Linked DNA regions of Sus scrofa. The protein of the gene in region 1 interacts with the protein of each later gene in a pairwise test. Links are inferred from orthologs where the notes say so. Each region holds a gene or a part of one and is shown on either strand. Other genes may lie near its edges.

What was found.
Region 2: the proteins of NUPR1 (region 1) and KNSTRN interact in a two-hybrid assay, tested with the Homo sapiens proteins (2 studies listed by BioGRID and IntAct). The link is inferred for Sus scrofa from reciprocal best matches to the Homo sapiens genes NUPR1 and KNSTRN.

What each region holds. Positions count from the first base shown.
Region 1 is NC_010445.4:18,398,921-18,406,117, forward strand, and holds NUPR1 (nuclear protein 1), read left to right. Parts: upstream 1-3,860; 5' UTR 3,861-4,130; coding exon 4,131-4,278; intron 4,279-4,702; coding exon 4,703-4,839; 3' UTR 4,840-4,852; intron 4,853-5,186; 3' UTR 5,187-5,491; downstream 5,492-7,197. UniProt on the Homo sapiens protein: Transcription regulator that converts stress signals into a program of gene expression that empowers cells with resistance to the stress induced by a change in their microenvironment.
Region 2 is NC_010443.5:130,925,780-130,933,792, reverse strand, and holds the start of KNSTRN (small kinetochore-associated protein), read left to right. Parts: upstream 1-3,620; 5' UTR 3,621-3,975; coding exon 3,976-4,184; intron 4,185-4,347; coding exon 4,348-4,442; intron 4,443-8,013. UniProt on the Homo sapiens protein: Essential component of the mitotic spindle required for faithful chromosome segregation and progression into anaphase.

The DNA of each region.
Region 1 (7,197 bases):
AAGGTCAAGGAGACCTCGTTTCCCGGCTCCATGGAGGACAGTCATGTGTCTTTATAGCTCTTTGTAGGACTAGGACTGGGCCTCTCAGTTCCCTCATAACAGAGCATCTGGAAGCTGAAAAAGCAGGATCGATCTCAACGCAGTGCTATGTATTCAACTAGTCATTTATTGGGGGCTAACTGTGTGCCAGGCTTCAGGCATAACAAGTGATAACAGAGACGTGATGCCTGCCCTCATCAATAATGATAACATGTGTTAAACACTTAATACATTCTGGGTACTATGCTAAGCATTTGTAAGAATTGGCCCTTTAATTCTCACCACAGGGAGTTCCTGTTGTGGTGCAGTGGAAATGAATCCATCTAGTATCCATGAGGATGCAGGTTCGATCCCTGGCCTCGCTCAGTGGGTCCGGGACCCAGCATTGCTGTGAGCTGTGCTGTAGGTTGCAGATGTGGCTTGCATCCCTCCTTGCTGTGGCTGTGGTGTAGGCCGGCAGGTGCAGTTCCAATTCAACCCAGAGCCTGGGAACTTCCATATGCTGCAGGTGTACATGTAGTTCTGTGCATCCTCGGTCCTGACCGGGTCCAAGCAGACGCTGTTTGGAAGGAAGGCAGGAAGGATGAATCCCCAACAGATGCCTCCATACACACAGCTGTGAAATCTTTGCCAGTGTTTGGTCAGCTGTATTGCTTCGAATGAGCCCTGAAACTAGATCAGGTAGACCGTGGGAGGAATCCTTGGCCACTCACCAGCCTTGTGACCTTGATTGAGTCACTCTCTGAGCCTCTGTTTTCCTTCTTTGAAGAATGGGGGAGGTGTTCCCTGGTGACGCAGCGTGTCAAGGATCTGGCAGTTATCCACTGCTGTGGTTTGGGTTTGATCCTTGGCCCAGGAACTTCCACATGCCTCCGGCTCCGCCAAAATAAGAAGAAGGAGGCGGAGGAGGAGAAGAAGGAAAAGGAAAGCAGCAGTGCGCCCTGGGTGGCTCTGGAGGAAGCCCTTTTATACCACAGGTGCTGTCGCCATTCTCCCTTTACAGATGAGCAGACTGAAGCTCAGACGTGGGCTCAAGATCTTGTAGCTGGTGGAGTTCTCGTTGTGGCGCAGCAGTAATGAACCCATCTAGTATCCATGAGTATGCAGGTTCGATCCCTGGCCTCGCTCAGTGGGTTAAGGATCCCGCATTGCTGTGGCTGTGGTGTAGGCCAGCAGCTGCAGCTCTGATTCGACCCCTAGCCTGGGACCTTCCATATGATACAGGTGAGGCCTTAAAGCGACCCCCCCCCCAAATAAAAAAAGAAAAAAGAAAAAAGATCTTGCATCTGGTAAGCAGGAATGCAGCTCACAGGGGTGAGTGAGTGAAAGACTGCCCCCTAGAGGTAGCTTGGGAATTTGTGGGTGTGTTCGCAGTCGCAGAGACTGCGCCCGTTGGAGCCGGACAGTCCCTCATTCTGCAGGATTGCCCCGACATCCCGCAGGTGTCTGACTGTCCTGCTAAATGTTCAGGAAGCTAAAAAGCAAAAACAGGAGTTCCCGTCGTGGCTCAGTGGTTAACGAATCCGACTAGGAACCATGAGGTTGCGGGTTCGATCCCTGGCCTTGCTCAGTGGGTGAAGGATCCGGCGTTGCCGTGAGCTGTGGTGTAGGTCACAGATGCAGCTCAGATCCCATGCTGCTGTGGTTGTGGTGTAGGCTGGCGGCTACAGCTCCGATTGGACCCCTAGCCTGGGAACCTCCATATGCTGAGGGTGCAGCCCTAGAAAAGGCAAAAAGACAAAAAAACAAAAACAAAAACAAACCCCCCAAAAAACTTATTTACCATGTCATGATTGGATTCTTTTGCTCCTATACTTAGGGATAACGCCCATCACTTTGCAAGAACCCGGTATTTTCTCATTTCCTCCACCTTCATTTGCCTTGGTGTCATCATTTTTTTAAGTTACCGTTTTCTCCTCTTTCTCCTATCCGCTGGTCTGTCATCATTGTCCCCACTCTGTCTTTATTCAAGTGTCTTCTTGTCTTCACTTTCATTTCCTGGGTGTTAAAGGACTCACAGATCACCCACATCTGGAAAACAAAAGCTAAATTTAATGCTGGCTCAGGCCCGGGAGCAAAGCAAGCAGAAGTGCCCCTGCTGATACAACAGAGGACAAGACCGGGTTATTAAAGGGTTTGCGGGAAGAATGGGTTTAGGTAACTAATGCTGACATGGAGCGGTGTCTCCTTGGGCTCTCAAGAGGGAGAGGGGAGAGGGGGGCAAGGGAGGAGCAGAGGATTAACACCTGCCCTGGGCTGAGAAGAAAGTCCTCTCGCGCTGGAAACCACAGAGTTTAAAAAAAAGAAAAGAAAAAAGTAAAAAGCTGCCTCCTTTTCTGTTCCTGATGGCTATGCCGGAGAGCTGGGAGCTGGTGCTCTAGCCTCAGCTAAAGCAGGAGTGGACAAGCCAGGGTGTGGACTCTCTAGGTCAATGTGACCCACGCCGTCAGAGCCTTCAGCCAAGAGTGGAAAATTCCACTTTCAGGTGTTACTGATCTAAACCCCTTCCTTTCATTCACAGTAAATGAGCACGAACATCTGTTTACTTCATAATGCCTTCTACCTCAGTAGAGTCATGATTTGAAATATGGATGATTTTATGTTATTTTTTAATTGACTTTTTTTTTTTTTTGCGTTTTAGGGCTGTACCCACAGCACATGGAGGTTCCCAGGTTGGGGGTCCAATAGGAGCTACATCTGCCAGCCTACCCCACAGCCACAGCCATGCGGGATCCGAGCCATGTCTGCGACCTACACCACAGCTCACAGCAATGCCAGATCCTCAACCCACTGAGCGAGGCCAGGGATGGAACCCACATCCTCACAGATGCTAGTCGGGTTCGATAACCCATGAGCCACAACGGGAACTCCAGGAGAGCATTATATTGAGCTGTTTGGAAACTGTGTGATCAACAGATGCCACGCAGCTAACCCTGTAGCAGGCAGTGTTCCAAGTGCCTTGCTGTGGATTATCTTGAACGTCACCCCAACTCTATAACCTGGATACAACTATCATCCTCCTTTTACAGAGGAGGAAACTGAGGCCCAGAGACGTAAAGTGACTTGTCCAGGGTCGCACAGGAAGTAGTGGATCAAGGATTTGAATCCAGGTCATTTGGCTCCAGAATCTGCATTCTTAACCACTCTGCTAGCCCCCATCTCAGGAGGGGGAGATCATCTACTGACCCCCAGTTCAGGATGTTAAGGGGGCTTTCCAAGGTGTTTCTTATTTAAAAGTAAAAGGGGAGTTCCCATTGTGGTTCAGTGGTAACAAGCCCAACTAGTATCCATGAGGACCTGGGTTCGATCCCTGGCCTCGCTCAGTGGGTTAAGGATCTGGCGTTGCCGTAAGCTGTGGTGTAGGTCACAGAGGCGGCTCAGATCTGGTGTTGCTGTGGCAGAGGCATAGGCTGCCAGCTGCAGCTCTGATTCGACCTCTAGTCTGGGAACTTCCATATGCCACGGGTGCAGCCCTAAAAAAAAAATTATAAAAGAAACTACATAAATACAAGAAAAAGTGGGCGTTGGTTGAGATCAGGGTCAGAACGCATGACAGAGCACAGCGTGTGTTGTGTCCTCTCCCAGGTCATTCTTCACTCCATGTTCTGCCGCCAGTCCTGAATCTGAGCCAGAAGCGGATGGGGGTGGAGGTCAGCTGTGTGGCCGTGACCCCCCAGCCCAGGAAGGGCATGTGGCAGAGGGCAGGCGATGGCCAGGGAGGAGTCAACCAGGTGAGGCGCTGAGTTCCCTGCTGGTTTAGATCCCAAGGGCTGTTTATGCCAGACTCCGCCTCCTCCCTCCTCCCCAGCCCCCAGCCCTGAGGCTCTTCTCTGTGGAAAAATACCCAGCTGGGCGAGCCCCGGTGAGAGGGAGGAGGCAGGGGGGCTGGGGCTCACGGGGGAGGGGATGACTCCTTTCCCCTCTCGTGACTGGTGTTTACTTGGCTGGGTTCTGGGAAAAGGCCAGATTGCATCAGACAGAGCCTGAGGGGCTGGAGCCAGACTAGGGGCTGAGGAGGAGACGTGGCCTTATAAATCGGGGCCGTGAACTAGGAGGTGTCAGGAAAGCAGATGCAAACACAGCCTTAGAAGATGGGCGAGGAAGAGAGAGACAGAGACAGAGACATTATGACCACCTTCCCGCGAGCAGCCAGCCCCCCCAGGCAGCTCCTATGCCCAGAAGATGAAGACCCCAACCTGGATGAGTACGACCTCTATAGCCTGGCTCATTCTTACCTGGGTAAGTCCCGGCCCTGCCACCTTCCCAGTCCTTCTATTTCCAACACAGTCCGACACCCCATCTCCCCACACTAGAATCCTTCCTTGGGCTCCTGCCCACCCATCACCCTTCTCCGGCCTGTTCCCTTGATCTTTCAAGTTGCCCCCTTCTAACCCCGCATCCACTGAGCATCCCCGTCCTACTTGGCCCTGGGACCTCATACTCTGCTAGAGTGTTTGGAGCAATGACAGATTGGGGGGCGGTACCCTATTTCCACAGATGGGGAAACAGGGACAAGGACATCCCTAAAGCTACGTGGTCATGACCCCCCAGCCTCCTGACTTTAACCCGAGCTCTTCCACCCCCGCCCGCTGGACCCCCAGCCCGTCCCTTGAGGCATCACGCCTCTGCCCACCTCACCGCGGACCCCTGTCTTGATTCCCAGGAGGGAGAGCCCGGAAAGGTCGCACCAAGAGAGAGGCTGCTGCCAACACCAACCGCCCCAGCCCTGGTGGCCACGAGAGGAAGCTGGTGACCAAGATCCAGAACACGGAGCGGAAAAAGCGAGCAGCACGGACCTGAAACAGAACTCGAGGTAAGGAATCAGGGGCTCCCTGAGTACCAGTAGAGGTCCCTCTGCTAGGAAAGGACAGGCCTGAACGTGCGTGGGTGGGCAGGGAGGAGGGATCAAACAATTGCTGTCCCAACATAGAATAAAATGAGACATATGTTGGACTCTGAGTTCCCTAGTGGCCAGAGCAAAGAGGGAAACAGATCCTTTCCAACTGGAGCAAAATTTGGTTTAGAGAGAGGGAAACCGAGGCCCAGAGAGTGTAAGATCTTTCTCTGGAGTCACGGGTGAGTGAGCAGGAGAGCCAGAATTAGAACCCGGGCCTTTGTGCTTTCACCATCTGCTTTCCTTCTGCCAGGTGAGGCCAGAGCACAGACACCCCACAGCAATGGAGACAGGACTGCGGAGGAATCAGTGCCTGGGGGCGGGATCCAGGCCTGCTGGCCGCCCTGCCCCTCCACCCCCAGGACTTACCCCACGTGACTGAGGCTCGAGGGGCTGCCAGGGAAGCCGCCCCAGCCTGAGAAAAAGGGCAGGTTGGGGAGCAAGAGGCAGGGGGTAGAGAAAAGCAGGGTCACCCCAAACAAAAAAAAAAGAAAGATGCTAAAGAGGCTGGAGCTTCCCAAGGGTGACAGTGACAATAAACAAAGTACAGCAGCTGCAGCCTGTGTGTGTGTGTTTTGTCCTCTTTATTTTCGTGGGGTTTTTTTTGGGTACATGTGTATCTGCATTTGCATGAACCAGAGAGAGCAATTTTGGTTAGTGTTTGTATTTGGTTATGCGTCTGGGAAGGGCTGTTTCTAATTTAAGGTGAGCTTTTTTTTTTCTTTTCTTTTTTTGTCTGCATGTTTGGGTGCATGTGTTTCTGTGGTTTCTTATGCAGTGTGAGGGAATTTCCTCTGTTCTTTGTAATGCTGCCTGTGAAATAAGCCCTCTCCCCAGCTCCTCTCTGTTTTTGCTTTTTTTTTTTTTTTTTTTTTTTTTTTGAGGGCTGCACCCGTGGCATACGGAGGTTCCCAGGCTAGGGGTCTAATCAGAGCTGCAGCTGCCTGCCTACATCACAGCCACAGCAACACGGGATGCCAGCCGTGTCTGCGACCTACACCACAGCTCATGGCAATGCCAGATGTTTAACCCACTGAGCAAGGCCAGGGATTGAACCAGAGACCTCATGGTTACTAGTCAGATTTGTTTCCGTTACACCACAATGGGAACTCCTCCTCTCCTTTTTTTTCTTTTTTTTTTTTTTTGGTCCTTTTGCCTTTTCTAGGGCCCCACTCGCGGCATATGGAGGTTCCCAGGTTAGGGGTCTAATCGGAGCTGTAGCTGCCGGCCTACACCACAGCCACAGCAACGCGGGATCCGAGCCACGTCTGCAACCTACACCACAGCTCACGGCAACGCCGGATCCTTAACCCACTGAGCAAGGCCAGGGATCGAACCTACAACCTCATGGTTCCTAGTCAGATTCTTTAACCACTGAGCCACGACGGGAACTCCATCTCCATTTTTGGAATAACAATCTTATTGTTTCTGTTGTCATCACATAAAACCATTTTTGAAGTAAATATTACTCATGGGTGCCACCTGCAAAATGGAGAGAATGGAGATTTAAAACATTAAGGGATTGCCCAGGGGCTCAAATTCAAGGATTCTTATTGTCCTCATGTATGAGGTGTGTCCCTTTGACAAGGGGGCTGCAGGGACAAAATTCTGGGAGGTCAGCTGCGGAGGAAGATTCTTCCCTAGAGTTATCAGTCTAGGAGCCAGACTTTGAGAAGAACTTGGGGCAAATAAGAGGTGTGATGAAGAGTTCCTGGTGTGGTTCAGCGGGTTAAGAACCCGACACAGTGTCGGTGAGGATGCGGGTTCCATCCCTGGCCTCGCTAAGTGGGTTACAGATTCGGCATTGCAGATGTCACAGTCATTTTGGCAAACAGCTCCTTCAGATTTCCCGTCAAACCCTCCTTTCCACAAAAGATTATTTATTCATTCAGTTCATGTGTATTAGATGCCTGCTGTATTATCTGGTTGAAGGCATGCATGGTAAGGAGGGACAGATGGCACCCTGATATGATTGGAACCAGCCCTTAGGGCCAGTGTCAGCTCTTGGACTCAGGAGGCAAATGGCAGGAGTGATACTCAGCACTAGCTCTCTGCCCAGGGCGGATCTGGTGCATCAGCTTCAGAAAATCACAGCAACAGGAGTTTCCGTCATGGCTCAGCGGTTAACGAACCCCGATAGCATCCATGAAGACGTGGGTTCGATCCCAGGCTTTGCACAGGGGGTTAAGGCTCCATGTTGCTGTGAGCTATGGTATAGGTGGCAGACCAGTCTCAGATCCCGTGTTGCTGTGGCTGTGGTGTAG
Region 2 (8,013 bases), on another chromosome or scaffold:
AATAAAAGAAAGCCACTATGTGCTATGTAAATGGCTGGCTGTCCCAAGCCGCCCTGTGCTGAAGAGCACTGGAAGGACCTTGATAAACTTAGCATTATCATCAGGCCTCTGTGTGATTATTCATGTTATACATCAACATAGGAAAAAGGCCAGCATTTTACCAAATTCACAAACATCAAACAAGAGCTTTAGGATTGATAAAATCGCTGAGTTGGGCAGACTGATTTTGTGAGATTTGAATTCATGACCATCAACTTCAGCTGCAGCCTCAGTCCCACCTAGCAGCTAGCTTCCATCCTAGTTTCTACTTTCCATTCTTTCCAGCAATCGTTTCATACTTTGTCTACCTTCCTCAAACACCCAGAAACCCTTCACCTCCTTGCACCCCTACCTTAAGTAGACAAAAAAAAAAAAAAAAAAGTCTTCTTCAGAAATAAACCTGGAGGCATCAGAAAGAAATTTCCCTACCTTCAAGACATCAAGTCCCCAGTTTACCTACCCAGCTCTTGACTTCTTCTCTCCCCCTCCCTTCTATTACAGAGAGGGAAGCAGTGGAGTTCCCATTTTGGCGCAGTGGAAAATAAATCTGACTAGTATCCACGAGGATGCAGGTTTGATCCCTGGCCTTGCTCAGTAGGTCTGGGATAGGGCATTGCTGTTGAGCTGTGGTGTAGGTCGAAGATGCGGCTTGGATCTGGCATTGCTGTGGCTGTGGTGTAGGCCAGTGGCTACAGTTCCATTTTGACCCCTAGCTTGGGAACCTCCATATGCCCCGAGTGAGGCCCTAAAAAGACAAAAGACCAAAAAAAAAAAAAAAAAGACTACTTGAGAATGCTTGGGGAAGTCCTTGAGACAGCAAAGCAAAACATTATTATAACTGTATTACATATGTTCACATAGCTAAATAGAGATGGGAAATATATATACATATATATATATATTTTTTTTTTTTCCTTTCTTTCTTTTTTGGCCACACTTGTGGCACATAGAAGTTCCCAGGCCAGGGGTTGAATCCAGGCCACAGCTGCAGCTGCACTGGATCCTTTAACCCACTACACAAGGCCAGTGCCTTGAACCTGCACCTCTGCAGTGAGCAGAGCTGCTGTAGTTGGATTCTTAACCCACTACACTACAGTGGGAACGCTGAAGAGGGTACATTTTGAAAATATATATTTTGTAGGGGTACAAGAACAAAAGGGTTTGAAGATGCTACTCTAAGTACCATCTGCCTTGCCCCTTTCTCTGTGACTTTGCTCCTTTGATCATGCCATCTTCCTCCTGAAGCATCCTTTTCTTCCTCTCAGCTGCTCATTCCCATTAGCACATGTATCCACTGTTATCTACATCTTCGAGAAAACCCTTTCTTGGAGTTCCCATCGTGGCTCAACAGAAACGAATCCAACTAGGAACCATGAGGTTTCGGGTTCTATCCTTGGCCTCAGTGGGTTAAGGATCCGGCATTGCCGTGAGCTGTGGTGTAGGCTGGCAGCTGTAGCTCCAACTGGACCCATAGCCTGGGAACCTCCATATGCCGTGGGTTCGGCCCTAAAAAGCAAAAAAAAAAAAAAAAAAAAAAGAAAGAAAGAAAAGAAAAGAAAACCTTTTCTTGACCCCCACAATGCACCTCCAGTTACTGCCCAATTGCTCTACTACATCCACAAACTCTCTTCTGCACTTGCCGTCGCTGCTTCTTCATCTCTCCTGCACTTTTCAGCCTGTTCCAATGTGGCTTCCACTCCAACCTCTCCACCAAAATTCTTCTTCCTTTACTCACCAATGACTTTTGGGTGTATGAGAGAAAACTTATGCATGAGTTTATTCATTACAGGATTTTGTATACACCAATGACATCTTTGTTGCCAAATTAAATTCTTTAAATTCTCATCTTGCTTGCCCTTGCAGTTATTTTCAATAGTTTACCACTCCCTTCAGCAGTTTACCACTTCCTCCTCCTTAGCTTCTAGGAACTACCCTTTCTGTGTTCTTCTCACCTCTTCAGCACCTCTTTATCAGATTTCTTGGCTGGCACCTTCTTATCACTGCAGTTTCTAAGTACTGCCATTCCTGTCCTTGGTCCTAAGGCTCTCTGTACTTCTGCCCTTGGTGATTTCATCCAATATTATAGTTTTAAATACATACAAATACTCATAATTCACAATAGTATATCTCCAACCCAGACTCTCCTCTGGGCTCAAAGCCTGTATTTCCAGCTGCCCGCTTGACAGCTCCACTGGAATGTCTCAAAGGCATTTCAGATTTACCATGTTCAAAGCTGAATTTTCAGCCCCCACCCCCCCAAACACAAAATAATGACTCTATCCACACAATTATTCAAGCCTGGGAGTCATCCTTAAACTATCCCTCTTCCTTACCCCTCCTTCCCCCATATCCAGTCTAATACTGAGTCCTGAGATTCTGCTTCCAAAAGCTGTCTTAAGTGCGTCTGCCTCTCTCCATCTCCACCACCACTATCATCTCAGCCAAACCACCATCATCTCTCACTTGATTAATTACAGTAGCCTCCCAACTCTCTCTAATTTCACTCTTGCTCTCCTTCAGTCCATTCTCCATGGAGTAGTAGTCACAGTGAACTTTTTAAAATATAAATTGAATGGCACCCTCCTGCTCTAATACTTCAAAGACTTCTAATTACTCTTAAGGAAAAAAATCTCTTTATATTTGAACTACAACCTGGTTATCTTTGGTCTACAAAGATAGACCATTTGACTGTCATTTGACTGCTTATCTCTCCAGCTTTGACGGTGACATTCTTCTCCCATCTTTTTTCGTCCCTCTAGGAAAAGCCCATTCCTACCTTGAGATTTCACATTTCTCTCCTCTTCCCCCATTGTTCACCTGATTAACTCCTCCTCATCCTTTGTTAGTCAAACATCACCTCTGATGTCTTCCTTGAACTACAATTTAAACTAGGTTTTGAGAGTTCCCATAGTGGCTCAGCAGGAACAAACCTGACTAGTAACCATGAAGACAAGGGTTTAGTCCCTGGCCTCACTCAGTGGGTTGGGGATCTGGCATTGCCATGAGCTGTGGTATAAGTTGCAGAAACAGTTCAACATTGCTGTGGCTGTGGCATAGGCGGGCAGCTGTAGCTGCAATTTAACTCCTAGACTGGGAACTTCCATATGCAGTGGGTGCGGCCCTAAAAAGCAATAAACAAACAAACAAACTAGGTTTCCTTGGAGTTCCCTGGTAGTGCAATGGGTTAAAGATCCAGAGTTGTTACTGCTCATTGTTCTGGGGTACATTCCATCCTGGTCCGCATGCTGCACGTGCTGCCAATATAAATAAATTAAAATAAACTAGGTTTCCTTGCTTTTCCCTCTTCCCTCATAGTTTTACTACAGTTGGTAAATATAAACTTTTTTTTACAGCTGAATTGAGACACATTGACTAGTTTATGAGATTATTTGCTGTTTCCTAGAGGGCAGAGTCCAGGAGGTTAGACTTTTTTTTTTTTTTTTTTTTTTTTTGTCTTTTTAGGGCCGCACCTGTGGTTAGGGGTCGAATGGGAGGTGCAGCTGCCCGCCACAGCCACGTGGGATCCGGGCCACGTCTGCCACCTACACTGCAGCTCAGGGCAACTCCAGATCTTTACCCACTAAGCCGGGCCAGGGATGGAACCCGCATCGTCATGAATACTAGTTGGTTTCTTAACTCTACCATTCTCCACCCCGTAAGGTGTAGTTTTCGGCCCACCCACCTCTATGCTCCTGGCAATTGAGCATCATGCAACACCCCTGACAATCACAGACCAAATAAAGAAAAGGATTGTGACATGAACTCTAAAGGTGACTGCGTTTGCGTCCCAAGGCCAGAATATGACGCTGGTAGGTTCATAGCTCCATTCAAGTCGGCGAAGTGCACCACTCCCCTCCCCCGCCCAGACCTGGGGGCTCTCACACCCATCGCCAGGAAGCTCAAGCTCGCCCCTCCACTCTGGACCTTCCGTACAGCATGGCAGCCCCCAAAGGCGTCACCCATAGTAGTGGCTTCCGTACAACATGGCTGCCTACAGGGAGCTCACCGCACCCCCTCCCGCCAGGCCACCGGAAGTTTCCATTTGAAACCGAGGCGGCGGACTCTGTCGGCGCTACGGCAGTTGCTGCCCGGCATCTTTTGAACTCGAGTGACGAGGCCTGCGGGCAGGAGCAGCAGGCGCCTAGGTTCGGCTCTCCTGGGTCTGGAGACTGGCTGGGTGTAGGAGGCCCATGGGATGGACTGGGAATTGAAGAATTTTCTCTATTCCACGTCGTGCTCTCCTGGGGCCCTCCGTCAGCTTGGGTTCCCTGGGCCAGCCCTGGGTAACATTCAGCTTGTGCCTTCCAGGCCCCAGTCGTGCTGCCTCGTTACGATGACCAGCGTGGTTAAGACAGTGTACACCCTGCAGCCCACTTCTGTGCTGAGCAGCTGTCTGGCCGCAGGTGGGTGCCTATGCCGTCCCCACCCCCGCCCCCAGGGCGCTGCCTGGGGTGGTCAGGCCAGGGAGTACGAGGAATCAAATTGGCAGCTGAGAATGGAGGGTGTCGGCAGGGAAGGGCATTCTGTCGGCTCTGAGAGCCCACTAACTCCCTTAGAACCGGACTGTCTAGACTTATGGGAGTTAGGGAAAGAGCCAGATGGTGGGACTTTGTAGATTCGCCCTATATCCGGATTCCCCCAAGCTGAGCATTCACCAATTAGATTTAAGTTGATGATTATTTTATAGTGTTATCCCATTAAGCTAGGAATCCCTTTTTAAACATTTGCCAGTTTTATTTCCAGACTTGGGGTATCTGGAGGTACTGGGTTTGTTGTGACTGAGGGGAAAAGAGAGTCATTTGAAAGACAGGATACTTATTAGGGAGAAGCAGTCGGTTCACATGGTATCTGGTTCACATTTGTAACTGTACAGTGTGTCTCACATAGAACATAATAAACATTTTTTTGGGTGAAGTGAGAGAGAAGGGACAGGCCTAGCTAGTATTTGGGAACCTTGGAAGAAGAGACATGGTTAAAAGCAATGTTTGATTGCTTTGCCATCAGGCTTTGTGTTCTTTGGTTTGTGGTTGCAAGTCATCGCCTAGAGCCTGCAGGTGTGGAGCTGCCTAATCTAGAGATTGTAGCCCAGAACAGGCTTCAAACATCAGCACCTTTGGTGGGAGATTTTGAAGCAGCTGGTTAAGATCCCTTCCCAGTGACTCCACGCAGTTGATTGATGAGCACTAGCAGGATTGACCTGTGAAGTAATAGGCTTTTCTCCAAAAGCCTAAAGTGCTGTGGGAGTTCCTGTCATGGCGCAGTGGAAACAAATCAGACTAGGAACCATGAGGTTGCAGGTTCAATCCCAGGCCTCAATCAATGAATGAATTAAGGATCTGCCGTTGCCATGAGCTGTGGTATAGGTGGCAGATATGCCCCCAAGCCTGCGTTTCTGTGGCTATGGCACAGGCTGGCAGCTGTAGCTCGGATTAGACCGCTAGCCTGGCAACTTCCATATTCTGCGGGTGCAGCCCTAAAAAAGAAAAAAAAAAAAAGGCCAAAGTGTTCTCTTTGCACCTGGTGTCAGCAGGGCTTAGGTGTTGCTGGGGGAAACTGGATCTGCTTTTATGCTGCCTTTCCCTTAAGGGAACAGTGTCTCCCATTCAGTGGGGCATGACTGGCTCTCCCCAGCCAAATTGGAAGTTTTCATCTCTTTGATTTCTCTCCTTGTCCCAGCTTTGTGATCCTGTGTAGCCTCAATAGTTTAGCATTTTTAGGCTGCCTCCCAGGTTTTTTAATTTTGATTTTAGGCATGAGTTGGCTGGTTTTTAGCTTTTGAATCGGTAATATATGCACATGTAAAAACAAAAAAAAATTCCGAAATTAGGAAATGATAGCAAAAAACAAGTCTTCCCTTGACATAGCCAATTAGTTCCTTCTTTAGCGTCTCTCTTTTTTTTTTTTTTTTTTTTCCCATTTAGGGCTACACCCTGGGCATATGGAAGTTCCCGGGCTAGGGTTCAAATTGGAGCTGTAGCTGCCAGCCTGTGCTGCAGCTTGTGGCAACACCGGATTCTTAACCCACTGAGCGCGGCCAGGGATTGAACCTGCATTCTCATGGGTACTACTTGGGTTCATAACCCTCTGAGCCACAACGGGAACTCCTCCTTCTTTTATTTTTTGAATTTATTTTTTATTTTTATTTTTTGGCTGTGCCTGAGGCATGTGTAAGTTCCTGGGTGGGGATTGAACCCTCATCACAGCAGCGACTCAAGCTGCTACAGTGGCAGTGCTGGATCCTTAACCTGCTGTGCCACAAGGGAACTCTGCAATAGAATTCCTTTTTTTTTTTTTTTTGTCTTTTTGCCATTTCTGGGGCTGCTCCCTCAGTATATGGAGGTTCCCAGGCTAGGAGTCGAATCAAATCAGCGCTGTAGCCGCCAGCCTACTCCAGAGCCACGGCAACGCAGGATCAAAGCCTCGTCTGCGACCTACACCACGGTTCACAGCAATGCCGAATCCTTAACCCACTGAGCAAGGTCATGGATCGAACCCTCAAGCTCATGGTTCCTTGTCGCATTTGTTAACCACTGAGCCACGACGGGAACTCCAAGCAATAGATTTCTTACTGTGTATAATGAATTAATACTTGAGAGAGGAGAAGATAAATTCATTCACCCAAGTCTGCCTCTTACTTCAGACAGACTTCAGAAAGAACCCTTTTAATATTTGTTTTGGGGGAAAGAGTACAGAAAATAGGGTGTAAGTGCCCACTGAATGTACTGATAAGCGGAATAATTTGTTAGCCTGAGAAATGATATTTATTCCAAATTGTTATGCAACTGGAGTCATCAAAATAATTCTCTGTTCAACGCAAATATAAAGTTTCCTAATTTTTCTGATCCAGTGCTTCATATTATTTCTTCAACCTGATTTAATTGTTATGGCTCTTAATTTAGGTCAAGCTTAAAGGAGACAGTTTACAATGAACAAAGCGAAAGCATAAACTAGAAGAACCTCTGTGCATGTGCTGGGGGGGTGTGCCTAACTCTGGAACAAGTTACTTGAATTTGTTATGGAATGTAAATGGTAGAAAACATGTGTGGTGGAGCACTGGAGCCCCTAAGGGCTTGGGGGGAAATGCTCGTTTATGGGGAAGAAGAGTGTCATGTCAGGGCCATTTGTCTGGTTATCTGGCAGTAGCCTAGCAAGGTCAGAACAGAATGCTAAACAGGGAACGTCTAAACTTAATGATGGATAAACAAATTTAAAGGGCTGGAGTTCCTGCTGTGGTGCAACTGGATGGGCAGCATCTCTAGAGGGCTGGGACACAGTTTCTATCCAGACCCAGGATGGTTGGTTAAGGACCTGGCCTTGCCACAGCTATAGCATAAGTCACAACTGAGGCTCAGATCTGATCCCTGACCCTGGAGGCTCCCTATGCCCCAGGGTGGCCAGAGAAGAAAGGGGAAAAGAAAAAAAAAAAAAAAAAGCTGGTGGTAAAAGTAGTCAGCATTGAAGAGGGGAAGAAAAATAGAGAAGTAGGTTTAGAGAGTCTGCGAAGAGTTCCCTGGTGGCTTGGTGAGTTAAAGATCTGGCATCGTCATTGCTATGACTTGGGTCACTACTGTGGCACAAGTTCAATTCCTGTCCCAGGAACTTCTGCCTGCCACAGGCACAGCCAATAATAAATAATAGAGATGGTCTATGAATCAACCCATGAAACTGTGATGTGTTCTATTTATTCAATAGGCGGGTTTTGAACCTCTCTCTCTCTCTCTTTTTTTTTTTTTTTCTTTTTATGGTGCATCTGTGATTATGGAAGTTCCCATGCCGGGGGTCAAATCAGAGCTGCAGCTGCTGGCCTATACCACAGCTCATGGCAACGCCAGAACCTTAACCCACTGAGTGAGGCCAGGGATCAAACCCATATCCTCAGAGACAATGTCAGGTCCTTAATCTGCTGAGCCACAATAGGAACTCCTGAACCTCTCTAAATATGCCAGGTACTCTCCTAGATGCTGGGGCCACAAA